4 linked regions of the Lonchura striata genome follow. The protein of the gene in region 1 interacts with the protein of each later gene in a pairwise test. Links are inferred from orthologs where the notes say so. Each region holds a gene or a part of one and is shown in the gene's direction. Other genes may lie near its edges.

Region 1 (7,755 bases):
AATACCCTATTAAACATCACCATCTACTGGATGCCAACACTTGTTCCTTATAAAGGGAACTGAAAGCTTCTATGTTGAATTAGCTTGTCAGACAAGCTGAAGCTTTCAAAGATCTGGCCCTGCTTGTAAAGTTATTGGCAGGGCAACGTTTGTGGATCTTTTCCATACCAAGCTGGGAAAAGATCTTCAGAATTATGAAAACTCAGAAAGCTCAGGGTGATATATCAAAAGCTATGAAATGGTTAATAAGGCAGAATGAGAACCTACAAAAAGAAGATGGGAATAGTCAGACATGGGGGCAGTAGCATCCTTTGGGTGATCAATTTATCTTCTTGTGGTATTTTTGTGTAGAAACACACACACACACACACACACACACACACACACACACACACACACACAGATTCCCGATGGAGTTCAGTGCTTCTCCTCCTGCATAGTTTGTTCTGATGCTGTTCCACAGCTTTGAATATTAACTTTTCACTCTGTTGGCTGCACAGATAAAGTTCAGCCATATTTGTGTGATTTTACAGCATCACACAGAGCTTGTTGAAGTCAAAAGGCACCATTGTAGATTGCACTCCCCTGCTATAGCTGTTGAGCTGGACAAGCTGGGCAACGAAAGATCCTCCTTCCCACTGAGAGCAGAAGTCTCCAGCCCCACTTTGAAGGATGCTGCTTCCCTTGTCTGGTGCCCTCCCTTCACTTTCACATCTTTCTCTACCTTCTTGTACAAGCACGAGAGAAGCCACAGCACAAACTGGCAGCAGTAGGTGATTATTTTCCTTATTTTCCTCTGTGGTAGAAGAGACCCAATGGAAAAGTGCTAAAATTTGAGGGCAGTCTCCTTTCTTTCCCTTTGCTTTCTCTAAGGTTTCACTTGATTGCATGTACAAAACTGGTGACTCAAGACACCAGAAAGAAAAAAATTCTTTAGAGAAATCACTTAGCAAAAATTGCTGATGTATAAAAAACCTTGAGAAGGGCTCAGAAAAACAATTGCAAAGAAAAAGAATTTTCCCTTATCACTGAGTGATGTTCTCAAGCCATCATTACAGTAAATATTTCAAAATGAATGATTCAATAATTATTGGAAACAATAAAGCTAAGATTTTGGAGGATGTTTCAATTTGTTTCAAATTTGATCCTTTAATTAATAGAAATTCTTATCTAAGGAAATTTTTGTGATAAAAATCTATTCTTGGATATATGCCTTCAAAAGGTGTTGCCAGTGACACCATCAAATGCAGGAGCTCTTAGCTTAGTGAAACAATATTTTTTTTTCATTTTCAAGATGCAAATACTCTCAAAAAGTAAACAATGAGATGTGGAAAGGACCAAAATAAATGGGAAAGCTATCTTGTTTGAATTGGTGGTGATTAAAACTGTTTCTTGCAAGGAGTCACAGAAAACCAGAAATGGAGTTTCAGGGAGAGCTAAACAGATTCATGCTATGTCAAAGCAGAGAGAATGACAAACACGGACAATTATGACAAATTAACTTATTATAACTTTGTAGAGTACTGGTAGGCATCATACTTTACTTTTATTGCACTGTCAGCATATTTGGAAAGAAATAGGTGTTAGAGTCTATCAAACAGTCCTGGCATCAACACAGTATCAGGACTTCTGTGTAGTTAATTTGTCTGGGAAGGATATGAGGTGAAACAGTTTCCAACACTTAAGTAAACATCATGCAGGATTGCACAGGAACAGATCAATAACAAATTGTATTTCTATTGCTGCATTTATCTTCCAAACATTTTGCAGTTCAAAACAGTGAAACCCTCAGGCAGGTTGTTGTTAATGGCAAGTCACACTGATATGAATAAAGTTGAAAAATGTTTTGTTTTCATGTGCTGTGTTGGCAAAAAGGAAAAGAAACACTGCAGCAAGATGAAGTGGTGCAATACCTGAGTGCTGATATAAAAGACATTTCACATGTAAGTTATAGAAACACATAATTATGTTGTCCTACGGAGCACCTGTATCTGATCATTTGCCCCAGCCTATACAAAAGACTGTTGAATTTTGGTGAGATTAAATAATTACAAAATTCACCTAAAACCTAGCAATGCTTCCTAGGCTGTCAGTACAGACCTAGAAGGGAAACATATTTATGAGAAGATTGTCTGCTTCACTGAGTATTGTGCTTGGTATGAATTACCTCTAGGAGACACCTTTTCTTCTCCACTGACTCTAAAGGGAGACTGAGGTGAACAGAGTAGACTAAGAGAACTAACTCTGAAAACGTGTTGCATGCCTCAAGTACAAATTATAGAATCATAGATTAGTTTGGGTCGGAAGAGACCTTTGAAGTTCATGTAGTTCAATCCTCCTGCAATGTGCAGGAACATCTCCAACTATATCAGGCTGCTCAGAGCTCCATCCCATCCAGCATTATTTTGTTTCCAGGGATGATGCATGCTGCATGCACACACCTTGTCAGTCATCTTTGGGCATATGTGCATATATATATATATATATATATATATATATATATATATATATATATAATGTATAGGTCTCTGTGTGTATGCACAATTTTTGAATAGGAAAATTCTAAAAAACCAAATATACATGGATATGTGTTTTAACAGTTCTACTTCATAATCCGATTTTATTCAGTACCAAACAATATGGACCATGATTCTCAACAGACATACTCCAGAACTATATTAAAAATTTCTAGGCACAAAAAATGCTATGATGTTCTTGGTACTTGTGGTTTCAGCTAGCCCAATTCTATACCTGTCCCATCCTTTCTGTCTCCCAAAAGCTGAAATTATACATTTGGGTGGACTGCTGACTCCAGCAAGAGAGAGCTTAAATGTAGGGTAGGAGTGACCACCTGCCATAGCTTTTGGTGTCTGTCCTTTGCTTCAGCAGGATTACAGATGCTTGCTGCAGGGTGGAAACTAACTAGTCCCTTGGCTGGACCCTTTACTCATTTTATCCCTGTGTTGACAATGATGGATAGAATTCATTAGTGTCACTGAGAATATTCTGCCACCATAAGAATCCTGCCCTTTAAGAACAAATAGCTACATTTAGCTCCATAATACCAAAATACCATGTTCAATGTCACATTCGATTTTGATCACAACAGATTCAACACAACAATATATAGCTGAGAGGTTTTATTATACCATGGAAATACTGGTCAGGGTGGACCAAATAGTGAGCACCTGTGCTAGTGCTCAAGCCAGCCAAAAGTCAGAGGGTCAAATGAGATTTTACTATGACCTGAAACAAAGCCATTGGAACCAGATGCTGAACTGTCCCAGTGAGTTACAGTAAGAACTGACACAGGCACGTGTGGTCAAAGCCATATGTAGCATCACTTACTTGAAGTAGGAAGGAAACATGTAAACAGGGAAGAAATATTGACTGGAGTAATTGGTAACAAAAGAAATATATTTTACACAGTGGAGGGAAGAGGTGTAAGCAGAACAGCAGAAAGTTCGGTTTAATGCCATTTTTTACTCTGGGACCTTCTCATAGGTCTGCCTTGGGTCTGAAGTCCAAAATTTATTCTTACGATAAGGTTTTGGGTCTTTCAGCAGATATAGGCACACCTCGGGTTTTGTTAAATATGGATTTGATGATAGCTAATCTGACAATGCATCTCTGCAGGAGTGGAAACGGTAATTTTGCTGCTTTCTAATGCTAGTGGTATCCATGACTTGAGGTGCAACAGAAGACTGGAAGAGAGTAGAAAGAAAACAGCTGTTCATGAGCTTTGTGTTTGTGACAGCCCAGCACTACCTGATGGCTCAAAGAATGCTTCACAATTCATCCACTATAATATTTCAGGACTGCTTGCTATCACAAGTCATAGTACAATATCCCAGTCCTTACAGGACAACACCTAACATTTTGTTTTAATGAGAATTTATTAAAACAGTAGATGCAGCAGTGATCAGAACTAGATCTCCATCCTACTGACAATTTTGTTCTCTGGAAAAATCAAGGACCACTTTCTGTGATTCTCTCCTTCCATCTCACAGACAGCATGCTAGAATGGAGCAAAGCAAGGACACGTCTGCCAGAAGAATGTACAAAATAAAGATGTTTTGCTCCATCACCCACAAAATTACGCTGGAAATTAAGGAAATACGGACAGTGATAGACAGTGCCCAGGAGGGTCCCACGACTGGCCCTGCGGCGGTCAGGAGGCAGCTGCGAAGCGCAGAGCGCCCCTCGGCCGGAGGGGAGAGCGAGGGGAGGCTCTGCGGCCGCCCCTGCCCTGAAGGGCCGGGCGGACGCTGCGGCCGCCCCCGCCTCGGCCGCGGCGGGCCGGGAGCTGCTCCCTGACACCAGCCGGAGCCGCCGCCGGCGGGAGTTAATCATTAAATCCCCGGCAGATCCGCTCCCGGCCGGCTCCCCGAGCCTCCTCGGCCTCCAGCCGTGCCCTGTCCCCTTCTGGCTTGACGGAGCCCGGCGGCGGGAGTGGAAGCGGAGGCGGGGAAGGAGACACCTCCCCGCCGCCCGACGGCCGCCTGCGGGCCCGGTGCGAGGCGGAGCCGCGGGCGGGCGGGCAGGGACAAGGAGCCATGTCGCCTCCCGGGACGGCGCCCTAGGGCACACCTGTGCCCCGCTGCCGCCCCCGCATCGCTTCTCCTCCGCTTCACAGCGGCGCTCGGCCGGCACCGGCTCCGTCGCGGTGCGGAGCCCCGTTCCGCGCGTTGGACGGCGCCCCGCGCCCTCAGGTCCGCTCCCGTCCCCTCCCGCCGCCCATGGGCGCCGCCCGCGCCGCGCCGGGGCAGAGCCGGCGCCACTGAGGAGCATGGCCAAGGGACCCGAGCAGGGGGACGCCTTCCTGCACCTCCCGGCCGCGCAGGCCGTGCCCGCCGAGGCGCAGGAGGAGCGCTACGCGGGGCTGCTGGGGCGAAGCTTGCTGCCCTGCGCCCGGGAGGCGCCGCCCGAGCCGCCGCTGTCCGCCGGCATCAAGGCAGGTAAGGGCGAGGAGCAGCGGCAGCCGCGGCTGCCGGGCCGGCCCCTCAGCCCGCGGCGGGCTGGGCGGCAGGCGGGAGGGAGTGCCTTGTTGCGGGACCGTAACGATGCCCTCGGCCCTCTCTTCTTGTCCCCCGCGGCGCTCAGAAACACGCTTCGGCAGCGGAGCACTCTCCTCGGAAGAAGAGGATGCGGATGCTCGCGACGGCGCGCTGACAGCCGCCGACCAAAGCCAAAGCCCGTCCTCGAAGAAGAGCATCACGCAGATCATGAAGGACAAGAAGAAGCAGACGCAGCTCACCCTGCAATGGTAGGGCTCCAGAGAGACCCCGCTGTCCGCCCTGGGGGCTCCAGGACCGAGCCGGCTCGTCCGTCACATTCAAAGGGACTCTTCTCTAACAGCTGAGCTGGCGAGGAGGGCGACATTTCTTTTAGAAAGAATTTGTAATTTCTGGGGTGTTTCGTTTGTTGATTTTGTTTTCTGTTTTTGTTTTGCGGGTTTCTTTTGGATGAGCCTTATCTGCAAATAAGGACACCCATCCCCAAATTTCTGAGTTTTGAAATTGCCAAAGGTTTGTCACTTCATACAAGTCTCAGATTCTCACACTCTGTGGCTATCAATGAAATGTATAATCAAAATGTAGAAATGAAACATTATTTAAAAATCGCATTTGTAGAATGGCTGCTTTAATTATACTTTAAGGCTGTGACAGATTTTCACTGTCTTATTATGCATTTGATTTACATTATGTTCTCTGACCCATTGAGGCCCTAACTTTAGTTTAGTTTATCTGGGGAAAAAAGTTAACCAAAGAAGAGGTCAGATTCTGCAGACATTAATTGATAAATGTTTATATCAAAATACACTTGAAATTAGGGAGAAGTTCTGTTGAATTAAATGGAAACTTAATTCAGAAATGTAGACTGTCAATAGAGTTATTTTTTCCTTCTAACTGAAAAATTAGACTAATCCAAATTATTCAATTTCTTATTCTAGTTTACTTCTGAGTGTAAATAGTTAAGGATTTAAGTCTGGTGAGTCAGTGTAAAATTATTCACTATGCAGCGCTTACTACACAGTATTTTATTACAAATTTGTGTAATTTGAGAAACAAATTTATTGCACATCATCCCAGGAGTAGTGAACAATGTAAAATTATAAAGAAAAAAAAATCAACAGGACAAAGAAATACCTAGCTGTTACAAAGGGTACCCTTCAAGTGAAAACAGTCAGGTTTTTGCTTCAGTTTTAAAAATTTTACTTTAATGACCATCACTCAGCACTTGTATTCTGTAAACTGATTGGGAATCTACATAGAAATTCACCTTCTTATAAAAATGCTGTTGTTTGTTTTTTTCCACTGTGGTTTGAAGCATATCCAGGTCCAGAGTGGAAATTAAAAAGCAAAACAATGAAGAAAAGAGACAGTAGCTCAGGTGTTGAGGATACAGTGGGACAGAAGATGCAAGTCCAGGTCCCTGCTCTTAAATCCTCTCAAAGGACTGACTTAAACACAGGTCTTTTATAGTCTAGTTAAGACTCTTATTTTCAGACTAAGGCTGACTCTTCGGTGATGATAATTTAGTTATTTAAATAAAGCAAAAAAGTCCAGACATTGAAAAAGACTCATTAACAACAGGGATCTGGCTCCAGGTTTTCAATATTCTGCAGCTAGCCTAAGCACCAAGTCTGTAGTGCCTGTCATGTTTCAGGAGAAACTCATCTGTGTGCTCTGATGGAATTTTTCAGTAACATTTTAAAAAAGAAGACCAACTGGGAAAAAAGAGAGCAAAAACTGGGAAATGCAATCAGGAGAAATGGCATGTTGCTTCTTACTCTGGCAGTTTCCTTCTCTACACAGGCTAGAAGAAAACTACATTGTATGTGAAGGAGTTTGTTTACCAAGATGCATCCTTTATGCACATTATTTAGACTTCTGCAGAAAAGAGAAGCTGGAACCTGCCTGTGCTGCAACTTTTGGGAAGGTAATAAGCAAATGCCTTAATAATTTGTTAGATCAGTTGTTTGGAAGAGTCGCAGTTTAGTACATCTGTGTAAGAATTCTTCCGAAATTTTCTACTGCTCATGTACATGGAATCAGACTAACTACACTGTCTCCTATGAAGGCATTTCTTAACATCACCTTTAGGAGACTGAAGCTGAAATTCCCTTTTTGTTCATGACATTAATAAGTTCTTTCCACAAAAACATGGAGGACACTTACAAATATACTAAAGACAGTGTAAGGTGAGATGTGACACATGCAATACTGCTAGAAGGGGAAAAGAAATTAATAACACAGAGAGCTTCTAAATAGAAAATTGTTGATTCATTCTCTTTTTACCCTTCTCTACAATTAATCCTTAAGTAATTTAATGTAAGAAAGATGTGAACTCTCCAGATTAAATCCTGAGTATTTAGTGAAACAGGAAACCAAAAATGCTTCAAGGATCATCTTTTTTAAGCACTAGTGATCTAGTAATGGTTTATACATAGCAAAATGCATTAATGTAATTAAATAATGGATTTAAAATCTGGTTCATAAAATGTTAATTTCCTATTTTATTCCTCTTGAACTGGATATACTAAAAAAGTGGATATTTAATTTTCATACACAGTTTTAGTATAAATGAGAAAGACAATAAGTTCAATGTAAAATTTTGGCAGTGATATGTCTGTTAGACATACCTATTAGATCTACCTCTATTACTGAATTAATTTTTCAGATCACACTTTCAAATAAAAAAATCAATTTCTTTCTAGTTGTTTGTCTTTGAAAACAGCATAGCTAAAGGGCA
Region 2 (7,255 bases), on another chromosome or scaffold:
TTGCCCGAACTCTCCGAAAGGATCGGAAGCCGTCGCGGCTCCCTGGGTACAAGAGGCTGGAATTCCTGGGAATACTGATCTGATCTGGCTCGCCGGCAGCAGCCCCTGTCTCCAGCTGGCTGTGGGAGCCCGTGTGGGCTCCCAGCCCTCTGCTGCCAAGGTCACACATTAACTTGGAGCGCAGCCACCCCAGCCTGCTTGGAATTCAGCACAGGCTCCCTTGTTCCCATCCCTGCCTCAACTTTGCTTCTGCAGGAAACACAACATCTCCAAAAAGCCCCTCAAAGCAGCGCCGGCAGCTCCCAGGGGCACAGCTCCACGCTGGCCTCACCCACGGGATAACCTGTTTCTGCTTGAGCTCCCGTCAACACAGCTGCGCTGGAGGAGCAGGAATAAAGATGCGGAGAAATAAAGATGCAGAGCAATAAAGATGCATCTTTTGGGGCGAGATAAGCTGAGGCCTGGCAGGGAGAGCCGGAGCAGCAGGTCCTGCCCGACCTGCAGCTGGTCTCGTGGGGAGCCCACGGTGCCTTTTGGACCTGGGGTGGCACCAGGTGGAGCGGCCCTCGGTGCCACTGCTGGGCTTTAAAAACGCCTTTGCAGCCCCCCAAATGATGGGGGAGGGTCTCAGCATCCTGCTCTGCCGCACCGCACCGTGTCACCCGTGTCACCGGAGGGGACAGCGGCCCGTTGGCTCACCAGGGGATGTGCCAGCGCTGCCAGAGGCTTTTCCCGCCGTGCTTGCCCTCAGTCCCACAGCACGGCAGGGAGCAGTAACCCATTAACCCAGCCTGGCTCAGCCATCCGGACACCCGCAGCTACGGACCGAGACCCCCGCCCCTCGTCTGCCTGCAGCCCCCGGGATGAAGATTCGCCCCCCGCCTCTCCCTGTGACCACCAGAACGAAGCCCCCCACCCCTCCCTGTGGCCACCAGACGTCCGAAGGGGCCCAGCTCCATCCCCCATCCCCAAATATCCCATTCCCGGCCAATCCCAGCTGGAGCAGGGATGGTGCAGCGCACCTGCCCGGCTCAGGGCTGGCAGAGCCTGGCACGATGGACCGGGCGTCACCTCCTGCTCTCAGGGGACATTTCCCGGAAACAAAGACGGCGGGGACAGCGATATCATCTCCCTCCAAAAAAACCCAAAACAACAAACCTCCAAACAGCCAAAATCCCCCCGCTCCGCCTCGTCCCCTTCCCCCGGCAGCAGGACCCTCCCGCTGCCCCCTCCTCCCAAGCTCCCTCTCCCGCAGCTCCATCCCCGCTCGGAGCCGGGAGAGCCGCGCTCGGGAGTCGCTTCCAGCCGCTCGTACCTGCCCCTTCCCGGCGCTCCGGGCCCCGCGCTCCGCCGCTCCGGGCTCGGCCGCCCGCTCCAGCCCCGCGCCGGCCGCCGCCGTCCCGCCCTGCTCCGGAGGACGCGAGCGAACGGAGCCTGGGCTGGGGAAACTTTGCAAAGCGAAAGGAAAACATCCAAGCTCCGTCGGGGAAACGCTTTTTTTGTTGTTGTTTTTTCTTTTCTTTCTTTCTTTCTTTCCTCTCTCTCTTTTATTTTTTCCCTGCCTGCCCAGGCACTGGCTCCGCGGCAGCCGGGGTCCTAATTAGAGGCTTTTTAGCCTAAACCTCGGGAGGCAGCCAATGGCTGGAATTCCAGGGCAGGCAGGGAGGGGAAAGGGGGGGGACATTAACCCTACAGGGGAAAGAGCTGCCGGTGACATCTGGCTCGCTCCTACCTCTCATTTTCCGAGCGCCCGCGCCCTTCCCTCCATCTGCGGCTCGGTTCACCCCGGGTTGCCGTTTGATGGCTTTTATGATCCCGCGCGGTGATTTATTTCCCTGCCGAGATCAGAAAGAGTTGAAGCTTCATGAAAGAGGGGGAAGTGTCATTACACCCCAATTTAGAGGTGGAGAAACTTTGGCTGGGCTCTCACAAAGGAGTTAGCCAGCGGCAAGTCAGGATGTCCCAGTTTCCACAAGCCCTGAACACCTGACGAGGCTCCTCCGAGCCATTCCAAGACCGGCTCCGGCTGCAGCAATTCCACCCGGGCAGGACTCAGGGGAAAATTTAGCAGAGCCTGACGCGAGGCACAGCGTCCTGTTGGTGTTTCTGTGCGTTTCTCAGCGTGCTGTAAGATTTTCCTGCCCGCTGACGTGACTTTGGGGATGACAGAGGACGCAGCATCCCCAAAAACCCCCCCACGTCTGCGGGGACCAGGCTGGATCTCTGCCTCCTGCGTGGTGCCGGGAGCTGTGGCTCGTTTTGGGAGCCCCGAGGGGTGTCGGAGGCTCTGGGATCAGGGTGGCACTGCAAAAAAAACGCACAGGGATGGCAATTTGGCAGAGGAGGTGCCAGGCTCTGTGACAAGCCCGTGGCACCGCTGGGCGAGGCCGTGCAGGGGTGTTGGGCACAGGTTGTGGGGCTGCCTCATGGAAGTGTCCAAGGCCAGGTTGGATGGGTTTTGCGATGCCTTAGGAATTCAGCTTTTATCATTTCCATACATTTGTAATCCTGCAGTTCTTTAGTGTGTAAATCTAAACTCCATACACAGTGGGAGCTGCTGCTTTCCCATTTTTCCAAAACAATCCCTCTCCAGGCCTGGAATCAAGGACACCTCACTGCCTCAAGCCAGAGAGATGGGAACAAAAGGGAGTTGGGGAGGAGCAAACTTGGGGTAAAACAACTTCATTACCTGAAGCTTTAATTGGAAGATTAACCCCCAATACGCAAATGACCCAAACTTATAAAAGCATGAAACCCCTGACACATGGTCCGTTTTTGGGTGGGCTTCATCTGTCCTAAATGTACCTGGAGGCCCTTCAGTAAATAAAACTGCTTTTTTATTCCCTTCATTCTGTCTGGCCTCTGTTTTAGGTAGGCCGGGTAAGGCACCACTTGGAGCAACCTGGAAATTGTCCGTGGCAGGAAAGGGATTTTTAAAGTCCTTTCCAACCCAAACCATTTGAGGACACTTTGAAAAATGCCCTGAGCAGGGGGAGAAGCAGGAGGAGGAGGAGGAGGGGTGAGCACCTCCACACTTGGCAGGGTCCCTTGGAGGTCCCCGATGTCCCCACGCTGTCACTGCTGCTTGGCCTCGCTGGGAGCTCGGTCCTGCAGCTTTCTCTGGGCCCAGTTCCTGCCTGGGACTTTGTCCCCGCGGGTGGTGACAGGGCCCCCCTTGTCCCCCGCTCCCCCCATGCTCCTCCATCCCTCCCCAGGGCAGAGAGATCCACGGGCAAAGTCCTCCGTGGGCACAGGGACAGACACAGGGACAGCCAGGGCACTCGGGGCTTTCCCAGGTGGCATCGGCCACTGCGCCGCGGTGACAGTGGCAGCAGTGTCCCCTCGGAGGGCAGGACACCCCAGACACCCCAGGACACCCCTTCAACCCCAGAGTCCCCAAATCCCCCTCCTTTGATCCCAACCCCCCCCAAATCTCCTTCCACTGACCCTTCCTTCAGCAATCCTCCAGCCCAGATCCCCCCAAATCCCCCTGCATTGACCCCCAGAGCCCCTCTCCCTCCCCAGACCCCCAAACCCACTCCCTGACCCCCAAAACCTCTCACAGACACAAAATCCTCTCACTGACTGCAAAACCTCTCACTGACCCCCAAAACCTCTCATTTCCCAGACCCCCAAATCCTCTCACAGACCCAAAATCCTCTCACTGACCCCAAAATCCTCTCAATGACCCCCAATTCTCTCCCAGACCCCCAAACCCACTCTCTCACCCCCAAAACCTCTCACTGACCCCAAAACCTCTCATTTCCCAGACCCCCAAATCCTCTCACTGACCCCCAAACCCACTCCCTGACCTCCAAATCCTTTCACTGACCCCAAAACCTCTCACAGACCCCAAATCCTCTCACTGACCCCAAATCCTCTCGCTGACCCCAAATCCTCTCACTGACCCCAAATCCTCTCGCTGACCCCAAATCCTCTCGCTGACCCCAAATCCTCTCGCTAAGCCCAAAACCTCTCACAGACCCAAAATCCTCTCACTGACCCCAAATCCTCTCCCAGACCCCAAATCCTCTCCCATTCACCCCTTACCACCAGGCCCCGCCCACCCAAGCCCCGCCCACCCCAAGCCCCGCCCACCCAAGCCCCGCCCCTCCTGCTCCGCCCCCGGCGCCCCCCGGCGCCCCCTGGCGGCGGCGCGGGCGGTGTCGCTGCTCCGGCGGGCCCGGCCCGGCCCCGATCGCTCCGGGCCCCACCGGGACCCCCGGAGCCGCCGGGCCGGCCGGGGGCAGGGCCGGGCCGGGGGCCCCGACACGCTCCGGGCCCCGGGAAGGGCCGGGCCGGGGGCTCCTGGGCGCCGCAGCTTCCCGGACGGCGGAGCCGGGAGCGCCTCAGGTACCGAGCCGCGCCTGGAGCGGGGCCGCGGCATCGCCCCCGTCCCCTCCCGCCGGCGCTCCCCGCGCTGCCCCGGCAATTCCCGGTACCCCCGGGGCTCGCCCCTTCCTCAGGCCCCTCGTTCCCGCGGGCTCTGCAGGCCCGTCCTCATCCCTCCATCCCCGTCCTCATCCCTCCATCCTCACCCCTTCATCCTCATCCCCTAATCCCCTTCCTCCTCCCTCCATCCCCTTCCTCCTCCCTCCATCCCCGTCCTCCTCCCTCCATCCCCTTCCTCATCCCTCCATCCCCGTCCTCCTCCCTCCATCCCCTTCCTCATCCCTCCATCCCCTTCCTCATCCCTCCATCCTCATCCTCATCCCTCCAGCCCCCTCCTCCTCCCTCCATCCCCGTCCTCCTCCCTTTATCCTTATCCCTTCATCCCCGTCCTCATCCCCTCATCCCCTTCCTCATCCCCTCATCCCCGTCCTCCTCCCTCCATCCCCTTCCTCATCCCTTCATCGTCTTCCTCCTCTCTCTATCCCTGTCCTCCTCCCTCCATCCCCCTCCTCCTCCCTCCATCCCCTTCCTCATCCCTCCATCCCCCTCCTCCTCCCTCCATGTCCCTGCAGCCCCATCCTCCTCATTCCTGCAGCCCCTTCCGCCTTCCTCCATCCCTTTCCCCATCCCTGCATCCCCTTCCCAGTCTCTTCATCCCCTTCCCCGTCCCTCCATGCAGTTCCTCCTCTCTCCATCCCCTTCTTCCTCCCTGCAGCCCCCTCCTCAGTCCCCCATCCCTTTCCTCTTCCCTCCATCCCCTTCTCCTTGCCATCCTTGCTCCCTCCTTTTCCTGGGATGCCGCGTTGGGTCTGTCCCCACGTGTCCTGGAGGGGTTGATGTGGGCCCAGGAGCTTTTCCACACGAGCTGTCCGTGTGTCCCTGTGCAGGGGGTGTCGGGGTGTCCCCCTGGCCCTTTGGGATTAGGGAATGCTGCTTCCCCCGCTCTGGGTTTAAGGAGGATGAAGGCAGGAGTGGCTTCTGCAGGCTGAGGGTTTGGGAGGGTGGGAACAACCTGGGAATTTGGGAAAGCCTGGTCCAGGCAGGGCTGAGGAGGATTTGGGTTGGGATCCTGAGGGTCTGGATGGGGCTGGTGGCCTCAGGAGGGTCCCAGTGCTGCTGTGGGAGCCGTGCTGGGGTGGTTTTAGGGACTGGCTGGGCTCTGGGCTGGCAAACAGGTGTGGGAAGGTGAGCTGGAAGTGCAGAGCAGGAGCCTGGCGATTCCCAGTGGAATTCTGTGTGGGAGGAATGCTGCTGAAATATTCCCCCAGCCAGGAGCAGCGGGAAGCGCCCAGGGAGCGCTCGGGGAGCTCCTGGTGGTTTTTTAGTTCATTTGTTCAGTTCTCGGTGTAAGAATCGTCCTTGGTGAGCCACAGCACTTCAGGCTGGCCCCTCGTAGGTGGGGATGGGGGGAGAGGAGTGAAGGAATAGCAGAATGTTTTCTCCCAGCCCTTATTCCTGAGGGAATTGCTGAGGTGGGAGTGGGGAGAGGAGCCAGCCCGCAGTGCCCAGGTGGGATGGAGCAGGATCTGTGCTAAATGAGCTTGTGAGGGGAACAAATCCACGCTGAGCCCAGGCCAAGGAGCAGGGGTGGGGTGGCACAGGCAAGGCGTGGTGCCGCTCGAGGGCGGGCAGGTGTGTGCAGGAGGGCAGCTGGCACCGGCTTTGTTTGCTCTCAGCGTGCACAGAAAGAAACTTTTCCTCTTCTGGGCACTTGGCAGGGCTGGGCCATGGTGAGGAGTTCTCCAGGGGCCGAAGGGAAGCGCAGAGGGGCAGTGGGAGGTGATTGATGGGGCTGTTTTGATGTGAAAGTGGAGTGGGACCCTTGGGCAGCTCAAGTGGGGCTCTTTCCCCTCGCTCTGCACTGGAAAGGGCCCAGGGAGCTCTGCCACCCCACGGCCCCGGGTTTCGTTTGGAGCAGGAGCAGGAGCAGGAGAGGAGGAGGAGGAGGAGGAGGAGGAGGAGGAGGAGGAGCAGGAGCAGGAGCAGGAGGAGGAGGCAGATTCTGGCAGAGGGAGAGGGTCCCAATGGAAAGGGGTTCCAAATGGAAAGGCGTTCCAAATGGAAAGGGGTTTCCCATAGAAAGAGGTTCCCAATGGAAAAAGTTTTCCAATGGAAAGAGGTTTCCAGTAGAAAAGATGTTTGCAGCAGGAAGAGGTTTCCAGTGAAGGAGGCTCCTAATGGAAAGAGGTTTCCAATGGAGAGGGGTTCCAATAGAAAGGGATTCCAATGGAAAGGGGTTTCCAATGGAAAGGGGTTCCAAATGGAAGGAGTTTCCAATTGAAAGAGGTTCTAAATGGAATAGGTTTCAATGGAAACAATGGAAAGGGGTTCCAAAGGGAAAGGGGTGTCCAGTGAAAGAGGTTTCTAATGGAAAGAGGTTTCCATCAGAAGGAGGTTTCCAATGAAGAAGGTCCTAATGGAAAGGGGTTCCAAAAGGAAAGAGGTTTCCAATGGAAGGAGTTTCCAATGGAAAGAGGTTCTAAATGGAATGGGTTTCAATGGAAAGGGGTTCCAAAAGGAAAGGGGTTCCAATGGAAAGGGGTTTCCAGTGAAAGAGGTTTCTAATGGAAAGAGGTTTCCAGCAGAAAGATGTTTCCAGCAGAAGGATGTTCCCAATGGAGGGAGGTTCCAATGGAAGGAGGTTTCCAATGGAAAGAGGTTCCAAATGGAAAGAGGTTCCAAATGGAAAGAGATTTTCTGTAGAAAGAGGTTTCCAATGGAAAGGGGTTTCCAATGGAAGGAGGTTCCCAATGGAAAAAGTTTCCCAATGGAAAGAGGGTTCCCAAATTGCCATTTCCATCCCAGGCTGGGGGTCCTGGTGGATCAGGTGGAGACACTGAGCTGCTCTCAGGGCACACCTGGC
Region 3 (7,954 bases), on another chromosome or scaffold:
ACAGCCGTGGGGTCCCATCGAAGTCGAAGCCCACGATGAGGGCGGAGATCCCAAAGGGCCGGCGGCCGTTGCTCTGCGTGTACCTCTGAGCACAAAGGACACACTCTCAGGCACTTCTGAACACATTCCTAGGCTGCACAGCACACTCTGGAGCAGTTACAACCAGCAGAGCTACCAGAAATGCTGTTCATTTGCTCTCTCCATTAGTCAGGACTCTGTATTTCATGGAGTCCCCAAGGCAGGCAAGCGAGAAGTGATTCCTGTCCAACCCCTGTTCCTACACCTGGTTACAGCTTCCAGAATCACCTCTCCACCTGCTGAGTGGTGCTGAGGCAGCCAGAGCCAGGTCTGCAAGCCCCAGTGTGCCAAAAAATACCACGAGGACACCTGAACACAGTTTTCACCAATGATTTGCACTGACTGCACATGAAATCATGGCAGCTCCGTGGCTGTACACAGGTTACACTGGAGCTGTGTCACAGCCCTCCTGGGACACTCCTAGCAAAGCCACTGCAGTGTCACTCCCAGGGGCAGGAGGGCTGACACCCACAGCACCACAGCAGCAGGAGCTGGGCCAGGTGTGTTTGCAACAGCGTGAGAGAAATGGTGTGCCAGAAAAACAGACACAAACGTGAGACTGGATAAAGGAACAAAGTGAAACTCGGGTAGTGGTGCCTTGCTCTGACAGACTACAGAGCAAGAGAGATTATACTGCAGAGATTATTACTATTACCACTAAAGAATCATATTATTACCATCACCACTGCTCTAACACATCTGTGCATAAGTAAATTAAATTTTCTCTAATTCTCGCTAGTGGCTGAAAATCAGTTTAATACACTGGCAAAGGAGTAATTTTCTCACAGAATGCAGCTGGGCATATTTTGATGCTGCAATTCATTCTAAACTACAAAACATATTAAATACTGCACCAATTTGCTCCCCTCTTACCCATCTCTGCAATGGCTTTGCAAGAGGAAAAACTACCAGGAGCATGAAGCAAAGACAGTAACCCAGGCTATCTGGAAGTGAGATGAGCAGGGTGTTCTGATGACATTAACACATGGAACTGTGCAGTCCTTACAAGAACTAGTTGCTTTATCTAGGGGAAAAAACTCAGATCAAACAGCACTCACTCAACTGTTCTTTTCCATTGCTACATCCCCATTCCCAATAAATGTGATTTTTACCAAGTAAGTGGAGTGAGGCCAGAGCACAGACATTTACACAGCTTGAAGAAGTGTCAGATATTCCATGCTACACAAGGTGTGGCTCGTGCTACACGTGTGACACTCTAGTCCCACGTGGTACACACCTGTTCCACACCTAACTGTACATTATGCATAGCACAACAGCAAATAAAACATCTCTGTCAGGTCAGGACACATCCTCAGCAGCTCTGTGCAGCCCCAAGTACCTGTTTCAGGCTGGCAATGTAGCGTGTGATGTACTCCACGGTGACAGGATCCTCCACAGTGAGCCTGTGGCTCTGACACTCCACCCGAGCTCTGTTTATGACTATCCTGGCATCAGCTGTCAGCCCTGAAATGACAGAGGGGCCTCAGAGTCATGAAAAAACCTCAGAACACCAATCTGGCCCTAAAAGGCCCACGGGGCCAGTGTCAAAAACAAGGGAAAATAAAGGCAGAGGTCAAACTCTCAGGTTTGCTGAGCAAGAGTATTTGTAAGGCAGCAGAAAGTGGTTAATGCACAAAAATGACTAAAGGATTTAGTTTACAGCTTCCATGTTTGTGACTTAGGTGACACATAATTCTGAACCAGGTAATGGGAGTATTACTGACAGCATTCAATGTCCCAGGTGATTTGCAATGCTCATTCCCACACACATTATTCCTCATGCAGTCCAGTTTCATCTGCCCAGCAAACTTCATCTAGTTAATGGGGCTACAGCAGCATGATGTTAGCTGACAAAAGTGTGACCATTTAAAAAAAATATTTTAAAGAAATTTAATTGTTATTTAATTCTTATTATTATTTACTTTTTAGCTAATGCTGCCATTTTTCACTTACAGCCTTGTGTTTATTAGAGAATTTTTCCTCAAGTTTGTGAACACCCCTGCACATATCCCAGACCCTGGCTAAAGGAGCAAGGCAGGAGAAAGAACTGAGCCTCTCATTCCTGCACACTGAACCTAAACCTGTTGTTTTAGTCAGTTAAATCAGGTCTCCCTTTAAAAACATTATTGATACTGACACTCTCTTTTTCCCTATTAAAAAAAAAAAAAAAAAAAAAAAAGAATAAGCTACTGTGGAAATATTGTGCTTCCCACAGCTCTCGGCCAGTTACACCCTGTATTTTGGGTTCTCAGATTCCATAAACATGCCCAAAGGTGCCCCAGTAACTGCCAAAGCCCCGAAGGCACCATGTACCTGCAAAAGCCATGCAGACATTGTCATCCAGAGCACAGATCTTCCTGACAGTTCTCTCATCCTGCAGCTTTGCCACGGACTTCTTCTCCACACCAAGGACAACAATATCCTTCCCTCTTACTCCAACCTTCCGTGCATGAAAAGAAGAAGTAAAAAAGTTAACCCAGGTCCAAAAATCCTCACAGCTGCAGACTTTACTCAAATGAGCAGTAACCAAGCACAAACCCCCACACTGTAACCACCACCTCAGCTTGAAGTCAGGATTTTATTTCCCACAACCCGGAGGCAGCACTGATGTAACAAAAATTGCAATGAATTTCAGGGTGCAGTTTCATCATCAGTTTATAACAACCTAAATCCCTGTGGCTCCCAAGAGACAGATTCCAGCTCCTCTTACAAACTCTTTTCTCCAACAGCACCATCAGTGTTTCCACAGCCATGAAAACCCGGCTAGTCCAGTGGCACTGCTCAACTCAGGAGCCCAAGGCGCTGAAGATCAGGTAACACCTTACCAAGTAACCCTACAACTGCCAAAATGTTCTGCCTGTAGCTGCCTTAAAGTCCTAATCCATACCTTGAATATACCTGTTCCAACATCACAGAGGAAAAAACAACCCTTGACCCTTCCCCTTCATCCTCACTGTTTGTCACAGGGGGATGGCAATAATTTTTTATTGTGGGGCAGCCACATGAGCATGTTCCAAATGTTTCTAGAAACATGAAACTCAACAAGAGACAAGAGGGGTGGTTACATTGTATGCTGTCTCCACTTTCACAGTATTTTTAATGTCTGAGAAAACCGAAGAATCTATTTGGCACTGGATTTTGTTACAGTCATTCCAATCCCAATGATGGTACATTCTCTTTCTGGTAATGGCAACTAAAACATACTACAACTATTAATATAGCCATGACTTTTTGGAATTAAAATTTACTATTACTAGAACGTATCACAATCACCAATACAACGGTATTTGCAAATTAACACCTTTTTTCTCCTCCCCTAAATGAAACAAAACTCTGATTGAGGAAAAGCTTGGGATAACTAGAAGGTGGGAGCCATCGATGTGCTTCTAAGGGCTTGGTGTTTCCCAAGGCGCTGGGGCTCTGCCTGGTGCACAAACACAAACCCCGCAGTCCGCAGGGAGGAGCGGATACCCGCGGGAGGGATGCGCCGGGGCAGCCCCGGGGCCGGCGGATGCTCCCCGCGCACCCCGCGGATGCTCCCCGCGGATGCTCCCCGCGGATGCTCCCCGCGGATGCTCCCCGCGGATGGTCCCCGCGGATGCTCCCCGCGGATGCTCCCCGCGGATGGTCCCCGCGCACCCCGCGGATGCTCCCCGCGGATGGTCCCCGCGGATGCTCCCCGCGGATGCTCCCCGCGGATGGTCCCCGCGGATGGTCCCCGCGGATGGTCCCCGCGGATGGTCCCCGCGCACCCCGCGGCCTCCCGGGCCCGCCGGGCCGGGCGCGCAGCGCGGCGCAGGCCCGGCCGCGGGTCCCCTCCGCCGCCGCGCCGCCAGCCCCGCGGCCAGCCACTCACCGCCGTGGAGCCCTTCTTGACCGCCTCCTGCGCGTACTCCACCTGGAAGAGGTGCCCGTCCGGCGAGAAGACGGTGATGGCGCGGTCGTAGCTCATGGCTCCGGCAGAACCCGCACCGTCATCCGGGCGGGCCGGGGGCGGGGCGCTGCGCTCCTGCGCTGCGCGCTCGGCGTACGCACCCGGCGTACGCACCCGGCGTACGCACCCGGCGTACGTGCTCGGCGTACGCACTCAGCGTACGCGCTCGGCTGCGCGCGCGCCCCGCGCGTTCCGCAGGGAATCCGGAAGGGTTTGGGTGGAGGTGACCCCAAAAATCACCCCCTGCCATGGACAGGGACGCCTTCCACTATCCCACGTTGCTCCCAGCCCCGTCCAACCCCGGCTTGGACACTTCTAGGCATAGGGCAGCTTCTCCGTGCCAGTGCCTCGCCGCCCTCGCAGGGAAGATTTCCCTCTTATCTCACCCAAACCTGCTCTTTTCCAATCTGAACGCGTTCCCCTTGTCCTGCCACTGCCCTCTCTTGTAAACAGCCTTGCCCCATCCTTGCTGTGCATCACCTTGGGGGTACTGGAGAGGCACAGCTGGGTCACCCCGACGCCAGGCTGAACAGCCGCGATTCTCCCGGCCTCTCGTGCCGCAGAGGAGCCCCGTGCCCGTCCCCGTGTCGCCGGGCTGCCCTGGCCGCCCCCGTCCCCGTGTCGCCGGGCTGCCCTGGCCGCCCCCGTCCCCGTGTCGCCGGGCTGCCCTGGCCGCCCCCGTCCCCCGCCCGCTGTCCCCTCGCTGCGCACTTGGCGTAGGCGGCCCCGCGCCGCTCCCGCGCTGGCGCACTCGGCGTACGCAGTTGGCGCAGCGGGCGGCGCGGCCGAGGCCGCGGGAGCCCGGCGGCCGGGACCGCACCATGTGCGGGCGGCGGGGAGGCGGCGGCGGCGCCGCTCCCGCTCCCTCCCCGCATCGCCGCCGCCGCCGCCGCCCCGCCGCCTCGGGGGGCTCGGGGGGCGCGGCGGGGGCGGTGCCCGGCGGCGCGGGGCGCGGCGCCCGCGGGTGTTCGCGGGGCGCAGATCGTACCATCTGCGGCCGCCCCCCTCCCCGTGCACTGCGGAGAATCCTCGCACGGCAATAGCAGCCAGATAATAACAATATTATTAGAGCCTGGAACCGATATATTATAGACACATAAAAATCCCCCACCATGTCGGTTGCCTTTGCTTCTGCTCGCCCAAGAGGCAAAGGGGAGGTCACCCAGCAAACTATCCAGAAGGTAAAAGAGCATGCTTTTATACAGACAATTTTAGACATTTATTCTGTCCATGCTCCTGCAGCTGGAGGCTGATTTCTAGGGCGATCAGGAAAACTCGTGAATTTGCGAGGGCTGCAGAGATGGACAGCTGGAGTGAGAGAGGTGGGGGAAGGAGGAGGAGGAGGAGGAGGTGGAACAAAGCAAAGGTGTTCAGATCGCTGCAAAGAGAGCGAGAGAAGGACGTAGGGAATAAAATCGGGATGGCACGTTATCCCTGCTGCTCGCCAAGGGGAAACGCTGCCAAGCATACATTGGGAAACGGCAATAAAATTTGCAAATATGCGGTTAATTTATGATGGTACGTCAGCTTCTGGCCCCCAAAGAATCCAACCTGAAAAAATGAATTGAAATAAAATACTGAATTTGCAAGGGTTTTCTTTTGTATCTGGATGCAGAATTTTAATCTCTCAGAAGATAGAGGGAGCACCAGCCACTGGTATTTTTCATAAACTACTATTATTGTGATGTGTTTATTGATGTTTAATGACAAACAAAGGTTTGGAAAGATTTTCTCTGGAGAGGAGATCCCCACATGGGTGTCATGTGGAGGCCAAATCAGAGGGTGCTGAGTTGGGAAGTTATTGTTTCCTATTTCCCAGGATTGGCAGCACAAGCAGACCCTGGCACCCTTCTCCTGCAGAAGGTGACGGCCAGGAGCAGCGAGGCTGGGAATGGCAATAAAGAACGTGCATGGTTGTAGTGCTGCTGTTTGTCAGGTGCACTTTTGCTGTCATTGTGGCCGTTCCCGTGGCTCCAGGTGTGCTGTGAGCCAGGTGTGAGCTCCGTGCGGTCCCTTCGCTGCCGGTGACCAGGGCAGAAGTGCCACTGCCAACACAGCCATTAACCTGTCACCAGGGGCTGTGCAGCCAAGCCATGATCCGCTGTCAATTTATGACTTCTAGGGGACAAAAATTCCCTCAGTGGTAGCGTGTGACAGGGCAGAGATGAGGGCAGAAAGAACTGCCAGGAGAGAGGCTGGAGAGATGACTTGCATCTCAGGAGACTGTTTGGAAACATCCCATTTTGTGGAGCTCTTGCAGCACGTGGTGTTGTGAACCAATTCATTTTAAATACTGAAATATTTCAGACTTGGTAAGTTTTTCCTCTAACCTCCAAATCAGTTGGAATTATTTCATAATTCAGTTGTTTGTCATTATACCCACACCCACAGACAAAGGGCAGATAAAGTATCTTCTGTTCGATTTTCAAGCCCTTTTTGCATATTCATAAACTTTGTGGAAGCTTCAAAATGTTCTTTCTCTAAAAGTAATGAGTGGAAGCATTTCCCATCTCAGGTGCATTTGCTGTCAGGTTACTTTGGGACTGTTCATGAGTGTTGGACTGTTGGCAGTGATTTTCTCTTTGACAAACAGCAATGCTAAGGAACAGACTTGCAGGCACAGGAACTGGATGGGATTTATAGTCAAGGATGGCAATGGAGCAGAGAGAGCAGGAGAAAAAAAAATCTCCAGAAGTCTTCATTAAAGTGAGCTTTTGAGAACATATACAAATTTCAATGAAAAAATATTATTCTTATTTGCATTCCTATTATATAAACAGGGTTTTTTTTATTTATTAACTCAATTTTAATAAACTTTCAAAGCTGTTCTTATCCCAGTATCAAATATTCCTAAAATAGCTTTCACACGGAGGAAGTTAGAGCTTTTGGCAATAGAGTAGTGGTGGTGCTGCTCTAAAATAGTTCATCATATAGCATTTCCAGGGCAGCAAAATTCAGTTCTGAACCAGAAATGGTTCTTTCCTCAAGAGCTCTCCTGCCCTGATGACACAGTGGTTCAAAGGCTCAATCTTGCAAGCCCTTGATAGCAGTGATATCTACAAAATCTATTATGCCAGAGGAAAATCTAAATTTCTGCGTGCTGATATTTTTTTTTTTTATTCATTCACCTGGAGAAAGTGCGCTGCAGTCACAAAAAATATGGGAGAAAGAGACAAACTAATGCATCTGAAATTTCACAACCAATCAAAGGATGTTTTAAGCTTTTAATCATTTTATGAGCTCATGAAATAAAAGTAAGGACACACTGGGATGTAATTCTCTTAAACATGGTTTCAGTAGCTGCAGCGATGCAAATTTTATACTTCATCAGGTTCAGCTGTCAGCACGCTCTGGTCTTGTGCAGGAAAAGGAGTAGGTTTAATGGTTTGAAAGTTTGTTTCCTACTTAAAAGTAGGAATATTAGTATTAGCTGACATTTTGGAAAGGGTTGGGTGATATTTTGGGATGAGGCGGAGATAATTCATAGTGAAAGTGTTTTCCTTCTTCAGCATCAGAATTAATCTGCCATTTAAGGAACAAGGTAAGTCCATTAATTCTGCTGTATGCGTATTTCAAGTAACTACTTTAAAGACAACTTTTTATAATTAAATCAACCTTGTGGCTCAGTAAAGTCACATGTAGGTAATTTACAATAGCCAAGGCAACAAAATTGCACAAAACACCATCCAGTGCCAAGGAGGGTGGAGGATCACAAAAACACAGGACTTTTATACAATTCTCATAGTTACGTTTTGGTCCTATTTCTTTTATGCAGATGCTAGATGAAAATCACCACCTAATACAATGCATTATGGATTATCAGAGCAAGGGGAAAACTGCAGAATGTACTCAGTGAGTATTATGAATTGGGGAGTTTGTTAGAAATGTTTCCTGAAGTCTGGCTCTTCCTTTGCTCAGTGGCACAGCTGTTGGTTTGCTCTT
Region 4 (7,311 bases), on another chromosome or scaffold:
CTACTCCATATCTGCTGAACCAGCCTGCGTAGCATTATATAGGGGACAGGACGTGAAGCTAATTATTACTCCTATGCTCAGAAAGTGCAGTGGCACTATAACTAAGTCAATTTTAATCCACACTCCCTGGTCAAGTATCACAGCAAGAAGAAATGCAGATGCTGCGCAACATTATCCAAGAGATAGTTAGGCCTTTGTGAAGAGGGAAAAAAAAAAAAAAAAGCTCAATGTTTCCCAAACACAGAGCTCACAGACCCTTCCTGAAAAGACTCTCTCAACTGTGAGGGAGACACTCTGCTGTGTCTCTCTTTTCTCAGATTGTGTCAATGGGGAAATGGGAACAAGGGGATTTTTGTTTGAGTAACCTTTCAGAGCAGGATATCTGTCTCATGTTCCCCTCTCAATTGTCACAAGGTGATAGCTGGCTGATGTGCTTCAGCGGGTATTCCCTTCCCAGCCTGCCAGCAGCTCTGTTCCATGCTGTACGCCGAGGGCTGTGGCAGGCCAGCCGCAGAGCCCAGCTGATAAGCAGTCCCTGTGGCTGCCCCACAGTGATAACTTCACCTGCTGCCACCTCCCAGACACCTCAGCACCTCAGCTGGCAACCAGGAGGGCCATGGGAAGACACAGAGCAGAGACATGATTAGAAATAAAGCGTGCGATAAACTCAGCAGGATGGGGTATGAGAGCAGGAGGCAAGCAGTAGGTTGCCCAAATGAGCAGAGAGTAATATTAATTGCCCTCAGCAAAAGCAAAGAAATAAACAAAAGCCATTGACAGAGGCACAAGACGAAGTCACAGAATCCATTTGCCACTCTGCTAGAATTGCAGTGGAATAAATATGAGGCAGTGAATCAAACCATTGCTGTGCTGTGAAGCAAAAGAGGCACATTACATGAATTACCCTCCTGAGAACTTCAATAGGACCCTGTAGTTATAAATCCTGGCAATATAGCTCAAGTTGCCTCTGAAACACAGACATCAGTAATGCCTGGTCCCAGCTTCCTCATCAGCAAGTTGCATTGTATAATTGAGCTGATTATCCAAGGCAACCGACTCAAAACTTCCCTAGGCTGTGCCTGAAATACAATATTACATAGCAAAGGCACGGCCGCTGCCAAGGTCAACAAGAACAGCGGGGTGCTTGCACTAACCACAGACGTGCCTGCCACAATCCCAACTTCTCACAACAGGAGGAGCTTAGCGGCTCACGTTTGCAAATCTCTCTTTCAAGGTATATCTAATTCCCGATATCCGTGATAGACCATGGAGCTCTGTCATGCTGCTGGCCCTGCTACGAGTGTCCCTCTGAGTAGGAGTGTTTCACCTTGGGGGAAATTAAAAACCCCCTCAGGGTAAATGGAGTAGGTGAGAGAGGTGGAGGGAGAGTGCATGAATAAATGAGCAGTGGGACTTCACTGTGCAATGGTGTGCCATGGCAATCTCTTTTTCTCCCTGTAAAATACCAGCTCTTGTGTCTGCTCCTTCAGAGTTGTAAAGTACAGCTACCAACACTGACAGACTTTATGGGTTTGTGCCCAGTGTCATTCCAGTGGCATCTAAGTAAAAGTATTTAATAAGAGTTATGGAGAGCGATAAAGGCAAAACAATACACACACAGGAACACTCCAACTAGAATTTCATATTAACACATCTGTTAACTCATATTAAAATCAGTCAGGGACTTTTTACATACATTAAAAGCAATGCAAGCTAAAATAATAGCAGAAGGCACAGCTTCTCAAATGTTCTTAAGTTTCATAATGTGATTGTAAAGCATTCTGAGAAAACACCAATTACAAGAAAAGTATCACTGTTGGTGGGATGACTGCAAACCAGATGCTGTCAGAGTTTAAATATAGGTGAAGTCAGAAATATGATGTTACTTATTTTTGTCCCCAATACTTATTGGTTCTTGATGATGTGGTTTTACAATCCTTAATGCGTTTATCTTCATGGTAATGGTGCCATGGGAAGAGATTATACAGAATTTATTCAGGGAAGAGGATCTGGATGCTAGTCCAATACCATGCTAACACCTCAGCTATTGCATCTTCTGTATCTAATTTTCTACTTGGAGTATGAAGAACAAAAACATGCAAAACGAAAAACAGTGTTTCTTTGATTCTTAACTCTTCAATTAAGAAATGCTCCAGAGAGATTTGCACTCTTTTAATAGTAAGCTGGTTATACATAATCACGGGAAGAAGTCCTTTCTTAAGTAAAGTGTCTAAGGACACAGCATACAAGTGAGTTTTATTCTCTTGAAACTACCCATATTTATATTGATGCTGCACTTAAAATAATCCCGCCCTAAACCCAGTGCATATAAAATGTCATCTGTTTCCCATTTCTTCTTGGAAAATCAGAAGAATCAACAGCAACAACAAAAATGGAAAGAAAGGCCCAGAGAAAAACCTCTACAAGAGGCTGGGGCAGTAAAGCTACAGCCCAGCCACAGTGGGTCTTCTGCACTGCAGAAAGGAGGAGCTTGCTCCTTTCACTAATTTCCAAGACTTATTTTGCACTGACAGGGACACACACCCATGAGCTATTATGGCATGTGCAGTCAATAAGACATCACAGGAAAGAAAAAAGCATTTTTGCATTCATTTAGTAAATTTGTAGAGTACAGCCACATATTTTATGCTGGAATTGGAGAACAGAGGAGATTGCAGATAAAAGTATGACATTCTTTATCAATCAAGAAACCATTTTAGCAATAGGATCCCTCTCTAGAGGATTAGTCACATGAGAATTTAAGGATAACATTGTACTATGGAATGTAGTTATGTTTGTAATCTGCTAGTACAAGATTATTCTTTGCTATTTTTCCTTAGGCCATCAGAAATAGCCTTGAGTCCATTTGTGACCTAAAAATGTTGAGTAAGATTCAGCTTGGGCAAAAAGGAGAGAATTTATTTCCCGTTCCTCTAAACAATCTGGAGTATGTCCCCTATACAAAGATCCCTCCTATTGTGTGTACCATATTAATCATGCCTGATTAAGAGATCTAACTTGAAAAGCATGGAGGATCACCACACATCTATTTTCCCCACTCTTTCTTGCTTCCAAGATACCAGAGTTAATTATTACTCTCTTCCAAATAATCCTTATTTACAATGGTCACTCTTTATAATGAACATCTCCAGGCCATTAAAGCATTCTTGGCCTCTGGTGTCTAATCAGCGTTAAAATAGCAACCAGGCAAAGTGAACACTTGGCAGATTGATTTGAGCAGTAGTAGATATCTTCTGAAGACAAGTGAGAATAAAAATAATTGCAAAGACATGAACAAGCAGTGTTCAGCGCCTCCAAGAGCTACATGTGAGAAAAATGCCTGTGGGAGGGATGGACAGAAAAGGTTCACAGAATCACAGCATCAGTTAGGCTGGAAAAGGTCTCTGAGGTCATCAAGTCCAACCCTTGACCAAACACCATGTCAACTAGGCCATGGCACTGAGTGCCATGTCCAGCTGCTTCTTGAACACTTGCAGGGTTGGTGACTCAACCACCTTCCTGGGCAGCGGATTCAAATGGGTTACACACCCTTTGAATTAAGAAATTCTTCCTGTTCAACCTGAACATCTTGAGGCTATGTTCTCTTGTCCTGTTGCTGGCTGCCTGGGAGGAGAGACCCACCAGGGAGGAGAGACCCACCTCATATCAGGTGGTTACAGAGAGTGATCAGGTCCCCCACCAGCCTCTTTTTCTCCAGGCTAAACACCCCCAAGTTCCTCAGTCTCCCTTCACAGGACTTGCACCAGACCCATCACCAGCTCCGTTGCCCTTCTCTGGACCTGCTCCAGCACCTGAAGGTCTTTCAGTGAGAGGCCCAGCAGTGGACACAGGACTTGCGGCGTGGCCTCCCAGTTCCCAATACAAAGGATAACTGCCCTGGTCCTGCTGGCCACACTAGTGCTGACCCAGGCCAGGATACCCTCCTGGGCACACGCTGCCTCCTGTTCAGCCTGTCGACCCGTGCCCCCAGGTCCTTTTCCGCCGGGGAAAAGTAAAGGCGAGCAGCTTCGAAAAGGCAGAAAGGGTTCCGGGGAGGAGAGCCGCCAGCCCTCGCTCTGTGCGGGGCTCTCTCTCCGCGGCCATCGGCGGAGGGAAGTGGCGGAAGGCGCCGCACCCGGTCCCGAACCCGCGTCCCCGCCGCCCCGCTCCGCACCCCCTCCGGCGGCGCCGCCGCGGCCGGAGCGCGTGGGCGGGGCGCCGGGGCGGGGCCGGCCATTGGCTGCGCGGTTGTGGGGGCGGTGCCATGCAAATGAGCGCGCAGGGCTGGCGCGGCGGCGCGCGGCGGGGCGCGCAGAGCGCGTGGGGATGCGGCGGGGCGCGGAGGCGCAGCCATGAAGTACAAGGTGAGCGCGGCGGGGCGCGGAGCCCGCACGGCAGCCCCCGGACGGCCCGGGGCTCCCCTCCGCACCTCCTCAAGGCGAGCCGTGTGCTCACGGGCCGGCCAGGTCTCCCTTCTGCCCTCCGCTGCGCTGTCTCCAGGCGCGGAGCCCCAGGGAAGGTGTCGGCGGGGAGTGGGAAACGAGGGGGCAGCGAAGGGGACGGGCTGCGGGGACCCCCGGGTGCTGTGTCGGTGTTGGCTGTGCGGGGAGAAGGAGCTCCTCTCGCTTTTCCCGCTGGTGCCGGCCCTGAATAACGGGGTGAGCCCGGGATCGCGGGAAAGGTGGGGATGCGGTGCGTGATGGCCAGGCGCGTTTGGGACAGGTACCCCCGATCCTCCCCGGGAGCTCATGCACCTCCTTCCAGGCGCTTGTGGATGACTCCTCATCACGGTGCGGTCTGTTTGATGGATCACAAGCGAGGGGGGAAAAAAAGAACCCTAACATTTTTTTTTAATGGGTAGCCTATGCCCCGTGTTAATTCCTATCATCCCCGCTTATTAAAATCGCTTTTAGCGACCTTTTACCAGAAGGGGTGGCGGTTGGTTGGTTTTTTGGTTTTTTTACTTTTTTCAAAAGACACAAATGTGGAGCCTTTCATCCTAATATTACTCAAAAATGTCTGGGCAAGGTACAGAATTGCCCACGGGGCATTAGATTACTGTACAGACATACCGTAATCTTGTGTGATTGGAAAAAAAGGGGGAGGGAAGGAAAAACTTTCCTTGCCCAGCCAAAAATAACTTCAGTGTCAATAAAAAGGTGATTTTGGAAATGTCACACGCTATATACTTGGAGACTAAGTTACTTTGGAAGTGAAGTCCATCTTGGAACTAAACTTAGGCAGCATGGTCTGAAAGAGTGCTGATGGAGTGGCAGTGTGTGTGAGAAGTACGAGTGATACCCAGGTAAATGTGCACAGGTTTTTATGTTGTTCTGTACGTCTCTGAGCTCAGGCCAAGTTTTCAGGGTCTCTCAAGCCAAACTTTGGGAAAGGTCAGAGTTAAGTTTCCAAAGCAACTGCCAATTTCACCATCTCATGGAAGGACAAGGGGAAAAGAAATTGTGTTAGATGCGGGTTGACAAAGGTAATCCATGGCTTTCACAATTTTGATGTGGAGCTCATGGCTTTCTTTTTTAAATTGTGTCTCAAACAACTGATTGATTTCAAGTCTGAGATAAAATTAATCTCATCTCTTCTATCTACTCCACCTCTGATCAGTCCAGGTAGACTTTACACCTGCCCAGAGAAGCTGTTACTCTGAACTGAAAACATCAGGCACTCGGGAGTAGAAGAACAGTGTTGCTGTTAGTCCAAAGCTCACAGTCTTCTTTCAGGCTGCCCAGGGCCAGGCAACACTTGTATCCCAGTAGCAAAGTAATGGTCCTGCATAGTTATACAGCTTCCTGATTTCTGTATGTAGGCCAGTGGCACTGCAAGAATAGGGACAGATAAGGTGACTCAAAAGGGGGAAGTCTTCCCTGTTCTGTAATGTTTCCTTTGCCCTGTGTTGTGGGAATGAGCATTGTGGATTTGGTTTGTGATTACGTAATTCTAGACAGAGAAGGCTAGATGGAGAAAAGAACAAGCCATTAAAAATAAATAAATAAAAAGAAGATTGAGGGGTTTGGCCTCAAAAGCCTTCTTGCTGGATTATGGTTGTTACTTTCCCTGGGAATTGTGAAGCAGTTACGCTGTTTAACTGGGACAAACATTCTTAGATCTATTTCATATCCCTAGTGTAACACACAAAGAAAACACCTGCACACTTGGTCTTTTTTCTTTCTGTATTTTCTCTCTTTCTTTTATCTTCCTATAGGAAAACATTTTTTTTTTTATTGTACACATGAAATAAAGGAACGTAGAATGCTAATGGGCTGCCTGGGGACATATCATCACTTCAGAGGAGGCTTAGCATCCAGGTGTAGATTTGTCTCTGTTTAACTGCTCCCAGTGTTGTACTGGGGGATGTCACTCCTTACTTTCATTGTGATAGCCCATAAGGCCTCATTTAAAGAAATAAGTGAAATGCTCATTATAGCTTAATTCAGAATTTTAACAGTAGGACAGAACAGGAACTGATTCATGGGTGAGATCCTGAATACATCTCTCCGTCACTCATGACTTTGCTTTCAGTGTGACTAAACCCAAGGTCATTCCTGGTCTAGAAATCCTTTCTGCTACACAATCTATAGAGTTTTTTATTCAGACATCTTCAAAACTTGTTCCTTCCTCTCTTCCTTCATCTAAGCTGCTTTTATTGTCCATTGCATACTTCCGTCAATGTGAATCCTCTGAAAGGGAAAATCCCCGTGGATTTAAGGAAGTTCAGAATTTACGTTACATATTTCTCTACATCACTGTCTAACTTTTGCACACTGTGTGAAATTCAGTGATTCTGTGACTATTTAAAGCAAAGAGAAATTTAACCCCAGGTCAAGTCCTGTTCTCCCGTTCATGTAGCACTTAAATGCCTGAGAACACAGAAGTTATTTTAACTGAGCTATGGAAAGATAGAAATGGTTAAGCATAAGAAATTCTTGTGTTGGTCTTAGTCCTGCTTGTCTAAAAGCTAGTTTCAGAAACTGTAGAAAACTTTCAGAAATTCCTGTAGGGGTGCAGTTGCATGAAGGCAGCACCTCAGTTCTTTAATGACAGTAGCTTGCTTTTGAGCTAAATCCTTATGTACAACAAAGCTACAACCCTTCAAGTTCTCACAGGACTCCATTCCAGTATTCTGTAACCTAAGAGGTAGGATCAGCCTTTTCTGAAACCAAACACAGGCTATGACTCCAAGGATGGAGCAGTTACAGCTACCATGTACACTGTACGTGTACCTTGTACAGTGGGTTACTGTGATGAGGGAAGGATATGGATGGGAGAGGGTATATGGTAGCCAGGGCATATCTGACC

Evidence for each region.
Region 2: the proteins of RFX6 (region 1) and FRS3 interact in binary tests that used the Homo sapiens proteins (3 or more experiments, as listed by UniProt). The two-hybrid records come from large-scale screens. The link is inferred for Lonchura striata from reciprocal best matches to the Homo sapiens genes RFX6 and FRS3.
Region 3: the proteins of RFX6 (region 1) and SS18L1 interact in binary tests that used the Homo sapiens proteins (3 or more experiments, as listed by UniProt). The two-hybrid records come from large-scale screens. The link is inferred for Lonchura striata from reciprocal best matches to the Homo sapiens genes RFX6 and SS18L1.
Region 4: the proteins of RFX6 (region 1) and NEDD9 interact in binary tests that used the Homo sapiens proteins (3 or more experiments, as listed by UniProt). The two-hybrid records come from large-scale screens. The link is inferred for Lonchura striata from reciprocal best matches to the Homo sapiens genes RFX6 and NEDD9.

Annotation. Positions count from the first base shown.
Region 1 is NC_134605.1:66,056,138-66,063,892, reverse strand, and holds the start of RFX6 (DNA-binding protein RFX6), read left to right. Parts: upstream 1-4,745; 5' UTR 4,746-4,789; coding exon 4,790-4,958; intron 4,959-5,103; coding exon 5,104-5,266; intron 5,267-6,818; coding exon 6,819-6,942; intron 6,943-7,755. UniProt on the Homo sapiens protein: Transcription factor required to direct islet cell differentiation during endocrine pancreas development. Specifically required for the differentiation of 4 of the 5 islet cell types and for the production of insulin.
Region 2 is NC_134632.1:101,079-108,333, reverse strand, and holds the start of FRS3 (fibroblast growth factor receptor substrate 3), read left to right. Parts: upstream 1-4,255; 5' UTR 4,256-4,353; intron 4,354-7,255. UniProt on the Homo sapiens protein: Adapter protein that links FGF and NGF receptors to downstream signaling pathways. Involved in the activation of MAP kinases. Down-regulates ERK2 signaling by interfering with the phosphorylation and nuclear translocation of ERK2.
Region 3 is NC_134619.1:4,914,480-4,922,433, forward strand, and holds the start of SS18L1 (calcium-responsive transactivator), read left to right. Parts: upstream 1-4,949; 5' UTR 4,950-5,124; coding exon 5,125-5,193; intron 5,194-7,787; coding exon 7,788-7,864; intron 7,865-7,954. Other genes in the region: PSMA7 (proteasome subunit alpha type-7), read right to left, coding at 1-85, 1,418-1,542, 2,392-2,518, 3,935-4,030. UniProt on the Homo sapiens protein: Transcriptional activator which is required for calcium-dependent dendritic growth and branching in cortical neurons. Recruits CREB-binding protein (CREBBP) to nuclear bodies.
Region 4 is NC_134603.1:91,620,556-91,627,866, forward strand, and holds the start of NEDD9 (enhancer of filamentation 1), read left to right. Parts: upstream 1-4,293; 5' UTR 4,294-4,352; coding exon 4,353-4,364; intron 4,365-7,311. UniProt on the Homo sapiens protein: Scaffolding protein which plays a central coordinating role for tyrosine-kinase-based signaling related to cell adhesion. As a focal adhesion protein, plays a role in embryonic fibroblast migration.